Drosophila melanogaster: one gene and its partners. Changing the gene in region 2 together with the main gene of any one other region gives a genetic interaction. Each region holds a gene or a part of one and is shown on either strand. Other genes may lie near its edges.

Region 1 (6,960 bases), on a different chromosome or scaffold from region 2:
TGCCGTTGGATGGTCATTGGTCATTATAATGCCTGCAACGCGCACTCCATTGATCACGCACGAAAAATAAAATATGTGCCGCTTGTGTACTATAAATAGAACATGGTCTAAAAGGTGGCATACACTCAGAGAAATAATTGCTATGAACAACCTAATATCATAGCTCTGGCGAGTAATGTTACATCTAACTTTGAAGGAGACAGTTAGTTAGTTATTTGTTTGAATGCAGATATTATAGCAATATCGCTATTTATATGAAGTATGCCATTATAATTTCTCCCAGTGCACGGCTCCACAATCGCTGAGCCAAGTGTCGGGGGTGATAGAGTGGCATATGCACTTGCCATGACATGGTTAATGTGACAACGACTGTTTGCACAGTTTGCTTAATATTCCACACGTGCTGCCGCACATATAAAGGACTATGTGGCTGTACACATGTAGGATAATGAGGGTGTCAGAGGTCGACTTTTCGACTCCGGGCCACTCGACTCCTCGGTTCTGTGTCATCAGCGAAACGGGGCCAGTCGACCGCTGGCAATTTTATTATTTATCCTGGAGGTGAACACACACACACACCCACACACACAGCGAAAGCCCCAGAGATGCGGCATTTAGTTATCCTTAAGCTACTTAAAGGACAGCCTCACCTCAGCAAAATTAATTAGTGCACTTAAGCTAACCGCGCCTATGGGAAGCGCTGTCAGCCCTCGAAAGATCTAGAAGTATTTGCCCGAAAATTAAGTATACGCCGTGGCTAGCGCTGTACTTCATTGGCATTCATGCGCTGACCCACCGCAGCAGCCATTTGCCAGGGGAAAATCAAGCAGATAGTTTCGAGCAAAAGGATTCAAATGTCGAAGCGAAACGATTTTCCAAGCAGCCAAACAATTTATCTTCGCAGCGCCGGCGCTGGCTGGCCTATAAAAATGGCAATCATTATTATAGTCATGTACCAGGCAATGGGGCGTTACGGCAATCAACGCCAGCGTCCCCGCCAGAGCTCCATAAATAAGCGCGCAATTTCAATTTTCAACAACGCCCCAAAGGAGCTCATACTCGAGCTGAGGAGGAGCTGAAGAGGCCCGAGAAGCGAAAACCGGAGACAGACGCAGGCCGCATCGAAGATTATATGGTATATGGCTTATATGGTAAATGGCAGGCCGTGGTGTGTATTTAAATGCATTTTTTAATAGCCATAAAGCGGGCAGCTTGTCGGCCTAAACGGGAGGAGCACCAAATGCCAGCGGGCGCACTTAAAGGCCTCCTCCATGCGGATTTCGATTGAGAGTCCGCCTTGGATACGGATACTTGGCCGGGACAAGGACGAATGCGCAACTAAAACAAGAGAAGCCTCCTCGTACGGGGAACGTCGTATATAAATTATAAACGCAAACTGTGCGACAAGGATTTCTGGTTGGGTTTTCGGTTTGCTATACGGCATGTCTGCTCTTTCTACTTCTTTTTTTTTCAGTTTTATTTCTGCCGGTCGACATGCGATTTCGATGGCAAATGATTTTGCATTTGCCTGAGCGGTGGCGTGGGGCTGTGGGGTGGATATGGCGTATAGGGCGGCAAATCGAAGCATAAACGGGCATGCCACATGGTGCAAGTCGAAGGTCAAGGGTCATGCCGGCAGTCGGATCTCCTCGAAATTTACTGCAACACTTGCCGCCGGCGCAAAGGCATCACATTGTGGCATATATACTTTAGTTGTATTTATAGGCTGGATGGAAATTGATGACGTCTCCATCGGCAACGCCCCCCTGCCAGCCACATATATCCTCGAGATCCTTCGGCTGCGCGATGTCATGCCGCATGCAGATTGTCGTGCAGCTAGTAGCGAAGTAACTGCCACTGCAATTGGAGTTAGTTCACTGAAAGAAAGGTGATCCTAAAGCGAATGATATAGAAACAGAATATCGGAAAATGTAACCAAGTAAAGGTTTTTAAATAGATAGAAGATAACTATCCACTACTTTCTTCTGAGCTTTGCAAATGTATCTCAATCTAATCAAGGGTTTTAACTTCTTCCAAGTCTGAAAGATTCTTTAAATGCAGCTGACTTGTTCGTGATCACAGTTACACCCTTTTTCTTCAAGTGTTTGCAACGGCAACTGCCGCAAAGTCTGTGTTAGCCGGAATCGATCCGAAGGAGGAGCAGCGCAACTCGAGTCCTTATAACTTCACCTATACTGTGCATGTGCACATTCGCCAAACTCTGTGTGTATATGTGTGGCAAGGCGAGTGTGATGGTGTGAGTGGAGGCCAGACCATGTGCCTATGCCGTATCCTTACGCCTATGGATATGCCACGCGATGTGATTGTGAATGCGAAAATGTGGCGACGTCGAGGGAAAGTTGTGCTCCCAGCGAAGTTCGCTTTGGTTTGGTTGGGTTCGGTTCGCAGTGGTTTGGCTTGGCTTTGTCGGGGGGGGCTGCTGGCCCCAAAGCTTCTGGGCCAGGATGACGTAGTCCTCCGGCTGAAGTGTGTTAGTATGTCTGCCCTTCCGACTTGGGGTTGCACACACACACCAGCTCACAGCGTATCCATACAGGCGCAACGAGGGTGCGAAGGGGCATTAAATGGTTCGTGTTTTCCCTGCCCTTTTTCATATTTTCATTTGTGCCTCATCTCGCCCGTTTGTCGCCCATATTGGGGTCGCCTGACGGTTCGTACTTTAAAAGCGCCATTTAGTTCGCGCGCAGCCTAAATTATTAAAAGCAAATCCAACACACCGCACACAGGCAGTTCATTAAATTCAATGTATGCAAAATAGCGGCAACAAATGCGGCAAAAGGCAATCTTCCGCCACCCACCCACTCGGCCATCCAGCTGTTGTCATTTTCGAGCCACGAGCCTCAAAAAAGAAACAAGTTTGCGAGGCAAGCTCATCATAATCATGTGCCTTCCAAATGCAGGCGGAGAAAAGTGGGACACTTTTGCAAGAAAAGATGAGAAAATGTTTGAATTTCATCAGTGCTATGATGATATTTCACACAAATCATACTTATATACATACGCAGCAAGTCACATTTCACGAATGACAAATTCCATTGCCTACTTTTAGGCACTACCACAACTTTAGGCACCACATTGCTTTTAAATAGCCATAACTTTAAGATCTTTTATAGATTTCTGATTAGTTCAACTCTTTTCTGGTTATGAATTGTGTTTATCACAGTTTCCCCCCACAATTTGAAACTACTGCAGCGAGTTTTCGCTGCGTGTAGCAACTTTGCTGCGCAAATATGTTTCGCCAACTTCAATTTGTGTCCCAGGTAGTAAGTTTACCGCTGTGTGCGTATGTTTGAGGGGCATGCCGTGTTACTGTTGCCATCGCTGTGTGTGTGTGCGAGCTTGGCTTTTTTATGCGTCACGTGAGAATTTCCTTTATTATTATTTGACTTGGCTACCTCGGTACATATCACGTATACGCAACGTATAATTCCGCAGAAAGGGCATTGATTTTTTTGATTTGCTTTCAGTTCGGTTCGCCATTCCCCCCTTTTCGTTTATTACTTTGATTGCTTTTCACTGTTTTCTTCGTTTTATTTTTTTGTTTTTCTTTTTTTTTTGGTTTGAGGGCATGGATACGCTGCAGTTTGTGATTTTCTTTGCCCTGCTCAAGAAGAAAAATATTTGCTTGCCATTTATGTATATTCTGTTTTCATCTCGTTTTTTTTGTTGTTGTTTGTGTTTGGCACTTTTGGGCATTCGTTTTTTATTCTTGTTGCACGCTGTTCGGTTCATCACCACATTCACACACTTACACACTCATTCACTGACTCACACACACACACACACTCACGCGCGTAAGAAATATACTACTAAAATACAAATTGCTCACAATTTCCTTTGCTCTAGATAGTTGTTGTTGCTGCTGCTGCTGCTGCCTCGCACTGTTTGCTTTCCCACTGGATTTTCTCGGAAAACTCGACGACCACGCGCTTCGACGTCTGACCACGTTCTGAGCCGAATTTCCCACAGCCTTGGTGGAAAATGCGAATGTGGCGTTGGTGAAAAGTCTGCGAGGAAAAGTCACCATCAGGCGGCAGCCGCTTTTCCTCTCACAGGACCTGCGCATTTCCCGCCTGCAGGTGACACACTTTTCCGCGCCAACCGTCGCCGATGAAGTGGATTTTTCGACCCCTCCTCGGGCCACCGCTCCATCCCCCCCTCTGAGCCCACAAGCTCCACTATTTACATGGCACATCGGTTTAAGGCGGCTGGCAGTTTTCCTTCGTTTGCCCACTTTTTTCGTACTTTAGGTTGAAGTAAATTTCGCATGCATTGGCCGGAGGATGGATGCACTGAAAGAAACACATTACCAGCTTGCATATTATATATATATTATATATAGATATTAATTGATAAAATATTTAGCTTACTTATATTTTTAAACTCTATGATAATGGCATGACTTGATGCGTTAAAGTTTTGTAAATAGTGTATTTTATATATAAAAAAAATCAAAAATATCAAACAAATATGAATAGATTAATTCATAATAAAATGAAATTCTATAATATTTTTAGTATATTTTTCTCTGTGTAGCGTAACAAGACCTGGTGTGATGTGGCGCAAATGTCATTTTCAATGGCCGAAAATTTCGGTATGCTGCTGCCCAGTGCAGGGAGTTGAAAATTCGCATTCGCCGCATCCATAATGGATGATATGTCCTTTCGGCCCGCTGATCCTTCGGTTAAAGCAAAGCCACCGGGTTAACTGACCTTTGCAGTGCGGCCAACTTGAAATGCAAATAAGCGCCAATGTCCAATTGTAAAGTTCAGCAATCTAGAGTATTATTTATCACGTTTCAGCACAAACACATTGCCAAAAGCAAACAATTTAGTTTTGTGCGCAAAAGTTGCTGACGCTGGCACGTGCAATTTGAATAATTAACCGAACATTTTAATTAATGAAACAAGTTTGGTATTGACTTGGCCCAAAGTGTGAGTGCGTGTAGATACACACACTAGCACTTAAAAGTGTGTTTTGGCCCGAAGTGTTGTTGGTCATTTGCGCATTTATTAAATTAGAATTTGTGTGCCATTCGGTATGCTGTTTGCAGTGCTTGTGAATAACAAAAAAAAAAAAAAAAGATAATTAAAGTGAGCAGAAATAATTGGGCACTTTATTTATATTTTTTATTTAGTTACCATTCTAGCTATAAAATATGCTGCGAAAATAGGAATTATAAAACACATAGCTGTGTTGTGTGCCATTTGTTATAGTTTAATTGATAATTATTTCGCATAATTATTTCTCTTAATGAGTATAAACACTATTTTAAAACATTCCGAACAATTTATAAATGAAAATTTAAGCAAATGCTTAAAGTTAAAGAACTGACTTAATTATTCCATTTGTATTCCAACTGACAGCAGCTGTTGCAATTATCCCCCTTGCCAAAAACTAAAGTGAAAATGAGGTGGTGGAAAACCATATTCCACGAAGGAATGGCGTTGGCGGATCCCAGAAAGGAAACCGCCGACTGAAGCTGTGAAATGCGAAACGCAGCGGTATCAAAGGGGGAAAAGCGAACTGCCAGAAAAAAATCACAACTGAGAAATCAGAAAAAGGAAAAACCCAACCGGAGCCAACTCAATTCAGCGAAATCAACGCCAACGGCGGCTGCCTGTCAATTAAAACATTAAAACGCGCTGAAAAATGCAGCGAACAGGCGCAAAGTAAACAAACTGCGGAACATGTTGCAGTGCGGACAGCATTTTCCAACATTTTCCAACATTTTCAGCGATTAGAAGCATAGAATTTCGCAATGGAGCACTTAGAGCAGCACCAGAGTTTCGGGCCCAGACCACCAAACCGAGCAAAGAAATCCGATTCGTCGACCAGGGGAGGGACTAATGTGTGACCCAGTTTGGATCACTGTGCAGGAAAGGAACTCTGTGTGTTTTGGCCATTTGCTTTTTGATCATTAAAAACTGGTTGGCCGCCGCCAGCTGAGCGCCCCACTACATTTGCGGTCAGCTTAATAGCACCGCTGCGGCCATAAATTAGTCAAAGAAAATCTATTGGGATGGCAGCTGGCATCTGTCAATGATTTATTCTTGACACATCATTCCGTGTTAGTTCTTTTAAGAATTAAAAACCAAATAAAATAATAGTAATGATTTACGGTTGGGTCTTAGTGCAATTGTTTAGTAAATAAAGTTATCAAAGGCTATTAATTACTATTTATCATAACAGTTGATCAACAGCAAAGAGTTCTGGAAGAAAAGCGTGGAATATTCGTTTATATTTTTGCATATTTTTGAATATTTTTTTAAACAGTACAAATAACTTTTTAGAAAAAGTTTTATCGTAGTCAAGAAAAAGATGATTTAGCGCACTGACTTCTCCAATAGCTGGCTTTCTTGGATAGCTAAACGCTCCTATTCAAACACCCCCGACTGTGGCTATCTGTCCACTTGAACCGCCCGCCCATGTCTTCGGCGGCAGCGTCGCTTGTGGCATTGCCGCTTGGGTTTATAAGCGGCCGGCGATGGCGGCGGCGAGCCGAGTTTCAGCGTCAGATTAGCCGAGAGCGCGCGCGTTTTTTCCCACGATCAGGAAAATCGAATTCCAGAGCCATGAAGGATCGATTCAAGTGGTTGTCGCTGGAGCTGCTCCTGCTGATAGGCGCCGCAGTCGCCTTTCCGGACGGCGCTCCGGCGGACACGTGCGTGAAGCAGCGGGCGAATCAGCCGAATCATGGCAAGGCCCGGAGTCAGCCGGCTCACTCGAATCCGTACGAGGTGGTGGCCGATGCGCAGACCTACCATCCCGGCCAGCAGATATCGGTGGTCATCTACCCGCACTCGGACCAGAGCACCGTCTTCCGGGGATTCTTCCTGCAGGCGCGTGATGCCAACTCGAACGAGTGGATCGGCGAGTGGGTGCAGAGCGAGAACACCAAGACCATTCCAGAGTGCTCGGCCATTACGCACTCGGACA
Region 2 (6,960 bases):
ACGGCAAAAAAAAACATAGGAATGAGAACCGAGCGAAAACGGAAAACCCAAATAAAACTGTGAAAAGCCGGGGCCACAAAAAAAATGAACAAAATTAAATATAAAAAAAGAGTAGAGAAGAAACTAAAACCTTAAAAAAAAGGAACGCAAAATTGGTGTGTGTTTGGGTGCTCTGGCTATGTTTGTTTCAAATTAAAATCACGCAGCGCACGTGCAATCTACACGCACACACAGCCGTGTATCCATACATACACACACATATTTCCACCTCTCGACAGCATATTAAAAGCCCAAAAACCATCGCCGCAGTGCGTAACTTTCTCCGTTCTCTGTGCTCCTTTCTCCTTTCTCCGTTCTCCGTTCTACTTCCTACATTCCCCATTTGCCATTTGCCATTCGAAATTCACATTTCACATTTCTCGGAGCCGAGCTGCACAGCCTCTGGCCGGAGTACCAAAATCCACTGGCAAGAGATTCCGGATCCAGGCGAATAATTTACAATATCCATAGATAGATGGCACACTGAGAACTAATTCAGGTTAACACAAATCACCCAAAGCCCTGGCAATTTTAAGTTCGGGATTGCCAAAGGTCAACTATCTAAAGGCTCATTTAATTGGAACATTTCGTTACATTTTAGTAAAATAAAATCAACGTGCATACTAAAGCAAGTATTTGCCATTTTTTTTTCTATAAGCCCCTAAAGTAGTTTTAAAAACTTTGTAAAGGAAATCAGAAAGTCTCACTGCAACATTAAATGTTTTATAGTTGCGGAAGACATATACTACATACATATATATATATATATGAGGCATAAAGTCACCAAGTATATAGCATATATAAAATACGACTCTGTGCATATTTTTGGTGGCCAAATTTTCTTGTAGTGTGTGTGTTCATGCCCGACCGCAAACATATGCGCATAAATATATACATATGTAAGTTAGCAATTGGGCCAAAACTAAATGGCCAAGCGTGGCAGGAAAGACAAAATGGAGCAAAACAGTTGGCAGATATATCGAGTTGTGGCAAGAATAAAAATTCGCCACCATTCAATCAGGGAAGCTGCTGATGTTTTTGCGAAGACAGACGACCACTTTAAAGGCACTCGATATATGCGCCATATACTGGGCAAATTCAACTCGAAAGACAAAGCCGAGTTGCCTCAGTGGCATTAGGAGAGCTTAGCGAGCACCAGAGGCGTGTGCAGAGGGGATTTATTAGCGCTGTTGTTGCCATAACCACTTAGCCTGCACACACACACGCACACAGACACACTGGCACACTGGCGAGCAGCTTTGGCACAAAGGGGTTAAGAGTGCGGAGAAGAACGAACCACACTCGACGCATTTACGATTGAGCTGGAGCTAAGCCTAAGCCTTGCCGCCTAAAAACCAGGCAATGTGCGTGCGAATGGCCTCCGATCCCCTCAATCTAGTAGTAACCCCCCCATAAAACCAGACCCCCCCCCCCAACCCATCAACAAGACCAAGCCTGCGGCTGTGCTCGTATTCGTATTCAACCACAAACTGGCTTTGTTTTATGATGTTTCACTTGCCAGTTGTTGCTCGAAAGCTCAGGAGTTCTTCCTGTTGCCTCAGCTGCTTGCATGCAAAGTTCAATCAAAATAAATCAGTTGCCTAGAACATTACAAAGGGGTTTCCCACCCATTCTCCTTCCCCTTGCCACTTTCCACTGAGTGGATAAGGGTTAACAGAAGGCTGAGCTGTCGAGCCGTCACGGCACATCTAGCCCCTGCAACCATTCGCCCCCCTTTCGATCGACTTGTTCAACTTTTCAAGTGCCCAATTAATTTTGGCGTGTGCGAGTCAAACTTGAATTTAATCGCAAATACAATGAGAACATGAGGCGTAAAAAAAGCGGGGAACATAGAGAGGAAAACAATAGGAGGAGCGAAAACAAAAGAAGCTTAAACAAAAATACAAAGACGAGGCTGAATAATAACCTCACATGCCCAAGTGCTCAAGTTGTAATACGGGGAAAAACCTCAGCTGCTCTTAGACAAATTAATGAACAGAGCGAGAATCCAAATCCAAACTAATTTGTATGGGAAAACTGGGTGGTTGGTGGAAAGCGAAGGGCGGAAGGCCCAAAGTTTTCCTAGATATCCAAGTGACTTGCCAAACAATACGGATGGCAAAGTTATGGTAAACCTCTCATCTCTGCTGAAAGATGAAACCACAAAATGAATGCATTTCAAAATCCCCAACATAATTACTCCAATGTTTGCGTTCATCTGTTTAGTTTTCACTGCATACTGAGGTGCTCGAATTGCTGGAAAAGCCTGCTTTCACCCACAATTGTGTTGCAAGCCCGTGTATTTATTATTTATATATGCTCTCTATGACAATGGAAAGAAAACGGTCGAAGCAACGAAACATAAGCCATTAATCCAATCAATGCAGTTCCTGTTTCTGGGTTTTTGTTTTTGACATACAAAATTTATACGTTGCCTTCATTTGTGGTCAAATATTAAGGCCACTGCCCAGTTTAATTTCGAGGCATTCAATTGATCTCTGAATTCGATCCTTGAGGCTGTCTTATTGTAAATTAAACATGCCTGCCCTTCTTGCTACTGACCACCATTCTATTTTTGTTTAACTTTGGCTGTGATTTTAAGTTTGATTTACAATTGTAAATTGGGTCAACTTGTTTTTCTTTCAGCTTCGGCTGCTCATTCCACTCCTCATTCCGCTTTTGTGGCTCGTTCAGTTTTTGACGGCGCCAATGCGTCGTATGAGCAATTTGCCAGTTTCTCTTTAGGCTACTGCTACAGCTTTTGCTCCTTCTGGCTCTTTTGGGCCACTCGAATTGCACTGAAATGGAAATGGCAATGGGAGTGGGAATGGGAATGGGAATGGAAATGGCACAAGGCAATAGGAATTGAAGTTGCTTATATAAGCAAAACTTCACTGGTGCCTCTTACCCCTACTTCAACCTACTTCACCCGACCAATCCCTACCATTTTCCACTTTCTCCCCCTTAACTAGAGTGAAATATTAATTAACTCGACCTGCAGTGGGCTAAGTTGGCGTGGACAATCCCCTACCACCACCACTACCATCAGAATCATCATTCCACCGGAGGCTGCAGCAGTGTAGATTCGAGTGGCGCCCCCTAGGCAAATTATGTTGGCAGTGTCCAGGTCCATTTGCCGCTTGCCAGTGCATTAATTAAGGTAAACAAACACAGAAACAGTCGGAGATAGGGCGATACAGTTGGAGGGACTCCAGGATTCCCCTGGAGCCTCTGATCATGTCCTGGTGTATTTTTCTCTTCTCATCCCTTTTCTGTGGCGCGTGGAAGGGTGCTTAAATGGCTTCTTAAGCTGTTTTAAACGCCTTTTTTAAATGGAGTTTCTCCTTGTGTTTCGAATTTTGCGGCACGCACCAAGCTCGGAATAACAATAACAACAAGAGTTACCATTTAAAAAAAGAGAACCATACACTCACATTCACCGAAAAAAAAAAAACAACAACAAGAATCACGCGCGGCTACGCGGCACGCACCACCTGCTTTTTTTTATTATTTAAAGTGCGAGTGGGGGGTTTTGAGCGAGGTAAAAAAATATTGAAGTCTGGATAGAAACTCCAATTGTCAGATTGACACACTGACTGATTGACTGACTGAATGAATGACTAGCTAACTGACTAGCTGGCTGACTAACTGACTGACCGACTGACTGACGGACTGACTGACTGACTGACTGATTGATTGACTGACTGACGACAGTCGCCGCCAAGCGCGGAACGCGTTGCACGATTACGTTGTGACGACGTGACTGCGACTGCGACGACTGAACCGAACTGAGGCGCTGCAAAAGTGTCCGGCGATAGAAGAACCGCCGAACTACGAGCCGAGCCAAATGCGGTGGCACGAACGCCCCACGTTGGGCGCCACGAACTCGCCACGAACATTTTGGGCCGAGGCGAGCACGTGCGATTTGCTTTGCTGCATTGGCTCCGGCTTTGTCAGCGGACTGGATCGTATAGCTATATATCTAAAGCTATACGGAGTTTTCCACTGCTGCACTCCGACTCCGATGGCGCCTCTTGCGTGTTGCGTGCTGTGTTCTGTGTGTGCCGAGTGTGTGCTATGTGTGATGTGCGATGTTCTGTACTGTGCTGTGTGGCAGGTACCGCTCCTGTTCCCGCTGGCCAAAGGCATACGAAAACTGGGCAAAAGGCAAATAGTTTTAGTGCCACTTGGCACGAACACGGCGACCAGAGGAGGCCCAAAAAACACAAAACCAAAAAAAAAAAAAGAAACGAAATGAATAAAATGAAAACCAACAACAAAGCAGAGCCGCAACAACAAAGCCAAAGAGTAGCCTGGGTGAACATGGCTGAGCAAGAAGAGCGGGAACCATGGGCACAGGGACATTGGCGACACTGGCGACTCTGGCGACACTCGGGCACCGTCCGCTGGAGATGGAGCTCTAGCTCCTGGCTGGACTGGAAATGGGGGCCCGTCGGCGGGGATGAGTGGCGGTGTCAAACAAAGCAAATGCCGCTAGGGGCCGCTGAGGCGGCGGCCGAAGGCAAAACAACCGAAACACGAAAACTAGGTGAAAACTGTAAATGAACCAAACACAAACATACACTAACACTCACATGCACACGGGAGCAAGAGAAAATCGAATCGAAGGAGAAACGACAAAAGCCACAACCCCATGCCCTCCAACTCGCCACCGCATCACCACCACCCTTTGGTGGCAAAGGTGTGCTCCTCTATTATTAATGTGTGCTTTAAAACGCCGCCGGGCTCGTTATGCTCCCCCCTTCCGAAGCCTATTCCTTCGCTTCCCTTTTGTTGGCTCCACTTGATTATAATAATGCGAATAACTGCACACTCACACACATACGGACGCACACACATGGCCATGTAAAGGCTCCCAAGTAATACACAGACACACGCATATAAGTGTCACGTGTGCACTTGAACGCCATGCTTCCAGCGAGGGACGGCGTGGCGTATGAGTAATGCAATTATTAATAAATAAACACATGGCACATTCACGCACACAAACGCGCGCCCAAACAAAGCATGGGAAAGTTCGGAAAGGAAAACATAAGGGAAAGCGAGAGAAAAGGGCCACGGAAAGCTGGATAAAGCGCAGCTTAAAGCTCTGGCTTCTGCTTCAACAAAGTTGACGTAGCTATTTGTTTTCCCAGCTTAAAAGCTATCAGAAAGTTTTCTTCAAATCAGAAATTGTGTTTTAGTCAAGCTTTTAAGCTCTTCAATTTTCAAAAAATCAGAAAAGCTTTAAGCTTTGGTGTCCTTGCTAATGCAGGTTTTGCGTTGAAAAATTATTGGACGAAAATTTATCGGAACGCAAACCTTTTATAGCCACACAAAAGCATTTGGAGAATAAGTTGGTTAGGTTGTAAAATACAACCGTTTGTGAAATTTTAACTATAATTTAATAGTTTTTACCAAATAGCATTTTACAATTTATTGAAGGGAGAAAAGCTAATATTATTGAAATATTTTTTTTTAATGAGACGAAGTTATCCAGAAAATGTTATAATCTTTCTAATAAACTAAAATAAGAACGTCTTTTGGGTTTAAAAATAAAAGCTCATTTAGTTCTAACAGTTGCACTTACTAGTTTCTTAAACTCTATAGGTTTTGAATGATTGGGATTTATTGTCAACATTTTGGATACTTTAGCCTCTTTGAGCAATCTTCTAAGAGTCGCTGCAGTACTTATAATTCTTCAGTTCAGAAAATTAGATTTTTAATGTTAAATGACATTTCACCTCATGTTTTCATTTGCTATTTAATGACTTAATGCTTGCAGAGAAATATATACACTTGTTTTAATGTTTTACCAATAATAGTTTAAGATTTTAGATTATCTTCCATAAAATCCTTATAGAATTAAGCCCACACAATCTTCCAATTTAGATAATTGTATTTTGTGACTTACCTGGAAGTTGATGGTATTAGTTCATATCGAGTTCGGTCATCGTGGGTATCGTGGAGTATTGCAAATAGGAAACAAAGAAAAACAGCGATTAGACAGATTGTTAAATGTATATGTATCAGCATATGATCACAATACACAGTACAAGTTACGAGTTATCATTATCTATAGATTCTAGATACATGTGCCAAGCAAAGGCATTTGGCGGCAACGAGTGCGAATGGCAAATAAGGCGAAACAATAAGCATTTAGAGTACTATTAATGCATGATTATACAGAATGATTTGGCATATAGAACTGACCGATCAAGTCAAGGCTTACGGCTAAAGATAGATACAAAGAATATGATTTTGGCAACTTTTATTCCGGCTAGGTAAACACATGGGTTACATACACAATTCAGATTTTGCAGTTAAGTTAGTACGAGTAGTTCCGAGTAGTACACACACACAGAGGCACATATATCACATCGAGGGTTGCGTATTCTGGATTGGCTTTGGATTTGGATTTGGATTTGAATTTGCATTTGGATTTGGATAGGATAGTCGGAAGGTGGTGGTGGGGGGTGGATTGTGGGCTGTTGGGACTTGTCTTTTCACTTACCCGCCAGCAACAAGTATCATCTGCATGGTCTCAGTTTCAGTTTCTGTAACAGTTTCGGTTTGGCTTTCTGTTTCGGTTTTCTAGTTCTGGTCTGCTTCGTTGAGCTCACTGAATCCTTGCCAATTAATTGGATCTGTATGTGTTCGTGTGTGTGCGTGTACGTGCGTGTGTGCGTGTCTAGTATGTGACTGTATGTGTTCTATGTGTTTGCTAGGTGCTCAATGGGTGAGCTAAATGCAGCTGCTGGTTAATTGGGCCCCGGCCGCCTGCAGCTGCATGACGGCCACCGAGTGGGCCGCTCCTGGCCTCTCGGGCGCCGATAATCCCGCGTTGCGTATCGCGCGTCGCTGTTAGCTTTGCCTCACTGTACTCGCTGCTGCTGCTGCACGAACGTAAGGTGGCACACG
Region 3 (3,600 bases), about 17 Mb from region 2:
ATTGGAATTAGGGTCTAGTGCTACACGCTCGTTGGTTCAATGTTCCTGCAAGCTCGATTTCATATTCATTGCCACGTACGTTTCAGCTTACCGTGCACTGCCACGCCAGCCGGCTAAGTGCGTTGCGCAACTAGGTGAAATGTGCGTTGTTGTAGGTGTATAGCTCCGTGTCTGTACCAGGCTCCGTTCCTAGGTTTATGCTTTCCTGAGGCCTAGCAAGTAGGAGGCGGCGTAAATAAACAAATGTAAGAAATCTAATTTGTAGCCGGTAAGAAGATCAGCTGTGCGGCACAGAGTTGCCAGTCGCTGGGAAGGAAAAAATGAACATGTTAAATAATGTCGAAAGTGGTTTGCAACTTGGCTAAGGGCCAAGCAATAAGTGATGTGGATAGGAAATTGGGTGGTTGGTGGTGGGAAACTTGGATTTGGTCATATCTTACATCTTACATCTTACATCTTACATCTTACATATCGACGCCATCTAGTGCAGATTGGCTTCACCATTAGAAAAAGTATATAAACTCTTGAATCCATCGAGGAAAACAAATTTGAATTAAGTTTAGTGGTTTATAAAAACTCGTGCATAGGACAGCCTTTTGAAGACGGTGACCTGTGCGAAATTCCCTTGGGAGTTTCCACCTAGCGGTGTGCATGTAAACTAACTAACAAGCACTCCGCCAGACACTCTTGGTTCGCCCGCGGAACCAGTTCTCCCTAGTCACTTCTGTCCTGCTTGTTCCGCTAATACCACTACCACTGGAAGCACTGGTACCATAGTGCAGCCCGGACAGCCAAAAACATTGTCACCCCCGCGGAAAGCGGAAGGCCAGTTGCTCGATTCGCCCTTAATATCGATCCCGGGCACGCGCTCTGCATTCTGCGCCCGAGTTCGACTTTCGCAGTTCGCACTTTCGGACGTGGACTCGCAGGATTGCAGGCAACGAGACCACTCGCAGTCGTTTGTGAGCGTTCGCAGCGCCAGGTATAGCGTACAGCCAGGGCTCCAAAAACTCAGCGCTTTAGGGGCTTCTTCGGGCCACCCCATCTGACCACTCCCCGACAGCTTGGGAAGGCCAGGGGCTGCTGGCCAGTGGCTCTTGTCGTTCTCCCGCTCGGGCGGAGAGGTGGTGGCCGAGGAGCCACAAGCACAAAACCAGAGACACACATTGAGAGACCGTCAAATTTAACCAAAACAAGCTCAATACTTTTTTTTGCTGTTCAAGTGCTAAATAGTGCTAAAAAAGAAACCCAACAACAAAAACCATAGAGAAACATCCAAAACAAAGTGATACAAGTTCGGAAAGAAAAAGCGAAGCCGATGCCAATAGTGGATTTGTGATGCCAACTTAGCTGGGGGACAATAAGCAGCGCACCTGCGCAGAATCAGTGAGAAAGGGGTTGGGAAAGTGCGCAGAAGCCCGACGGATACGTTCCAAGAGTGCGGGAAGGGGTTAGCGAGTGGGTGGATTTGCGTGGGAACTGCCAAGACAGGAGACAGGAGACATGGACAAGTGACATGGGACGTGGAACCCGACGACTGCAGCTGACAACTTTTCCAGGCGCAGAACGGCGGCCATAGTGCCACTCATATTTTCCGTTTCGGGGAAGTACAATCTCAGGACCCCGAGAACCAGCGAGTGGGTATGACAGGACAGATAGCAGCGAGTACTCTCGTAGCTTTGCCTTATTTTTCTTTTCTTCCTTTTCCTTCAATTCCCTTATCCGCCCCCGCCCATCACGGACTCTCTCCTACTACGTTCCACAATCGAATACTACGGCCACTCACATACAAGCCACACGCACAGAGTTTTCCGAGTTGACATTTTCCGTGCATAGGTTTCTGGGCATCGGCGAAAGGAAAAGCGCTGCGCTGTGGGCAGCTAACTTGGGCACCGCAAATCGAACGAAATCGGAGTACGAACCTTAGAGCGCAGAAATCAGAAAACAGAAATCATAACCCAGAACCCAGAAAGTTAAAGGCTGAAACGAAAGGCCACAATTCCGAATCGCTTGCTAATGAAATTTTTTTGTGTTTTCGATTTCTTGCTGCTGCTACCGTCGTCCGCCTGTGCAGCAAAGTGTTAAACGAATAGCCAACAAAGCAAATACAATTAACCAGAACTGGAAGCACGTCAGTCCAGCCGCAGAAGCAGCTAAGTTCAGACCAAACTCGGAGATTCCCAGCCAGGAGATAGGACCAGGAGCCAACCAGACGAGGAGCAAAGAAGCAGAAAAGAGTGCGAACAATGTGCGCCGCGCTGCGTCGTAATTTGTTGCTGAGGAGCCTCTGGGTCGTCCTGGCCATTGGCACTGCTCAGGTTCAGGTGAGTCACCGAATCCCCACCACACCACACTACACCACACCACACGACATAACAACACACCACACTACAGCACACCACAACACACCACAGCACACCAGACCATTTCACTCCACTTTCGATACAATACTCGATGGAACGAAGGAGTAAGTCGAAAGAGCCGAAACTCAGAACAGAAACACAAACCGAAAATGAAACTGACAGAGAACACTGGGAAACTGGGCAAAACTGCACACTAAAACATTGTTTCGTTAGGGCTTTAATCGGGATGACAAATTGATTTAAACAGACAACTCGACGCTCGATGTTAGCCACGCATTGAAGCTGATAGAAGTCAAAACAATATTAATTCGGTGTCCGGGGAAGACAAGTAGGTCTCCAGCAATTAGGGACTTGTGTTGTTGCGCTACTGCCTCATCTGGCTTACTGACACAACACCCAACTTATGTATAACTTGAGTACGGCTCACAAAATAGCAGTGTGGCTCTATACTTTCTGCGTGCAACAGCAATACCAATCGCAACCGCAACCCACACACACAGGCACCCACACTCTCGCACACACACAGAGAGCCAGATACACAAGCACACAAGCACTTGAGCGGGTTTCTGTGGGATGTGGTGGCCGTCGGCTAAGCAGCCGCGCAAAGTATGCTACGAAAAATGTGCCATCGCTTAGCAGCGGCACTAAAGGCTCGAGGGCTTGAAGGCGGGAAAGGGTTGGGGATTGGGGATTGGGGATTGGGGATTGGAGATTGGGGATGGGTATGGGATGGGGATGGGATGGGGATGGGTGATAGGGCTGCCAAATTACTTGCGAGTGTGCGCAAGTATTGGCTTAATTGAACCGTTTGCTTGTCGCTGGCTACTGGCCAACTGAAAGCCGAAAACCGAAAACTTGAGGCTAGAGGATAGCAGCAGCTGGCTTCGACTAGCAATTTGCATATAAAAGTAGCGGAGGTGTTACCGAAACCAAACAGGGCGTGCAGACATTTTGATTTTGATTTTCTACACGCAGCGACTGGCAAATATCGTAGAAATGGAGTGCGGGGCCGGGTTATGCGTCCTTCGGTTGGGGTTTAAGTCCGGCTAAAAACTATCCGGCTCTGTCTGAGCATAATCCCCAAATTGGTCTGGGGCTGGACCTGCATTCACCACGAATCCTCTTGTTCAGGTCAATTCATCGACTGGCATACGTGCACGCACACACCTACCGACAAACCAAAAGGGAAGACATGCGTTACTAGGATATTGTTAGCTTTAGCTAAAGTGTTTTTAAA

What was found.
Region 1: of Sh (region 2) and jus, changing one suppresses a phenotype caused by changing the other (phenotypic suppression), as found in Drosophila melanogaster (one study listed by BioGRID).
Region 3: of Sh (region 2) and Appl, changing one suppresses a phenotype caused by changing the other (phenotypic suppression), as found in Drosophila melanogaster (one study listed by BioGRID).

Annotation. Positions count from the first base shown.
Region 1 is NT_033777.3:29,191,038-29,197,997, forward strand, and holds the start of jus (julius seizure), read right to left. Parts: upstream 3,957-6,960; 5' UTR 3,851-3,956; intron 1-3,850. Other genes in the region: CG14515 (uncharacterized protein), read left to right, coding at 6,597-6,960.
Region 2 is NC_004354.4:17,986,861-17,993,820, forward strand, and holds the start of Sh (shaker), read right to left. Parts: upstream 3,820-6,960; 5' UTR 3,474-3,819; intron 1-3,473.
Region 3 is NC_004354.4:529,553-533,152, forward strand, and holds the start of Appl (beta amyloid protein precursor-like), read left to right. Parts: upstream 1-1,617; 5' UTR 1,618-1,637; intron 1,638-2,074; 5' UTR 2,075-2,246; coding exon 2,247-2,324; intron 2,325-3,600. UniProt on the Drosophila melanogaster protein: During development, plays a role in the regulation of the neddylation pathway. Appl and APP-BP1 interact antagonistically during development.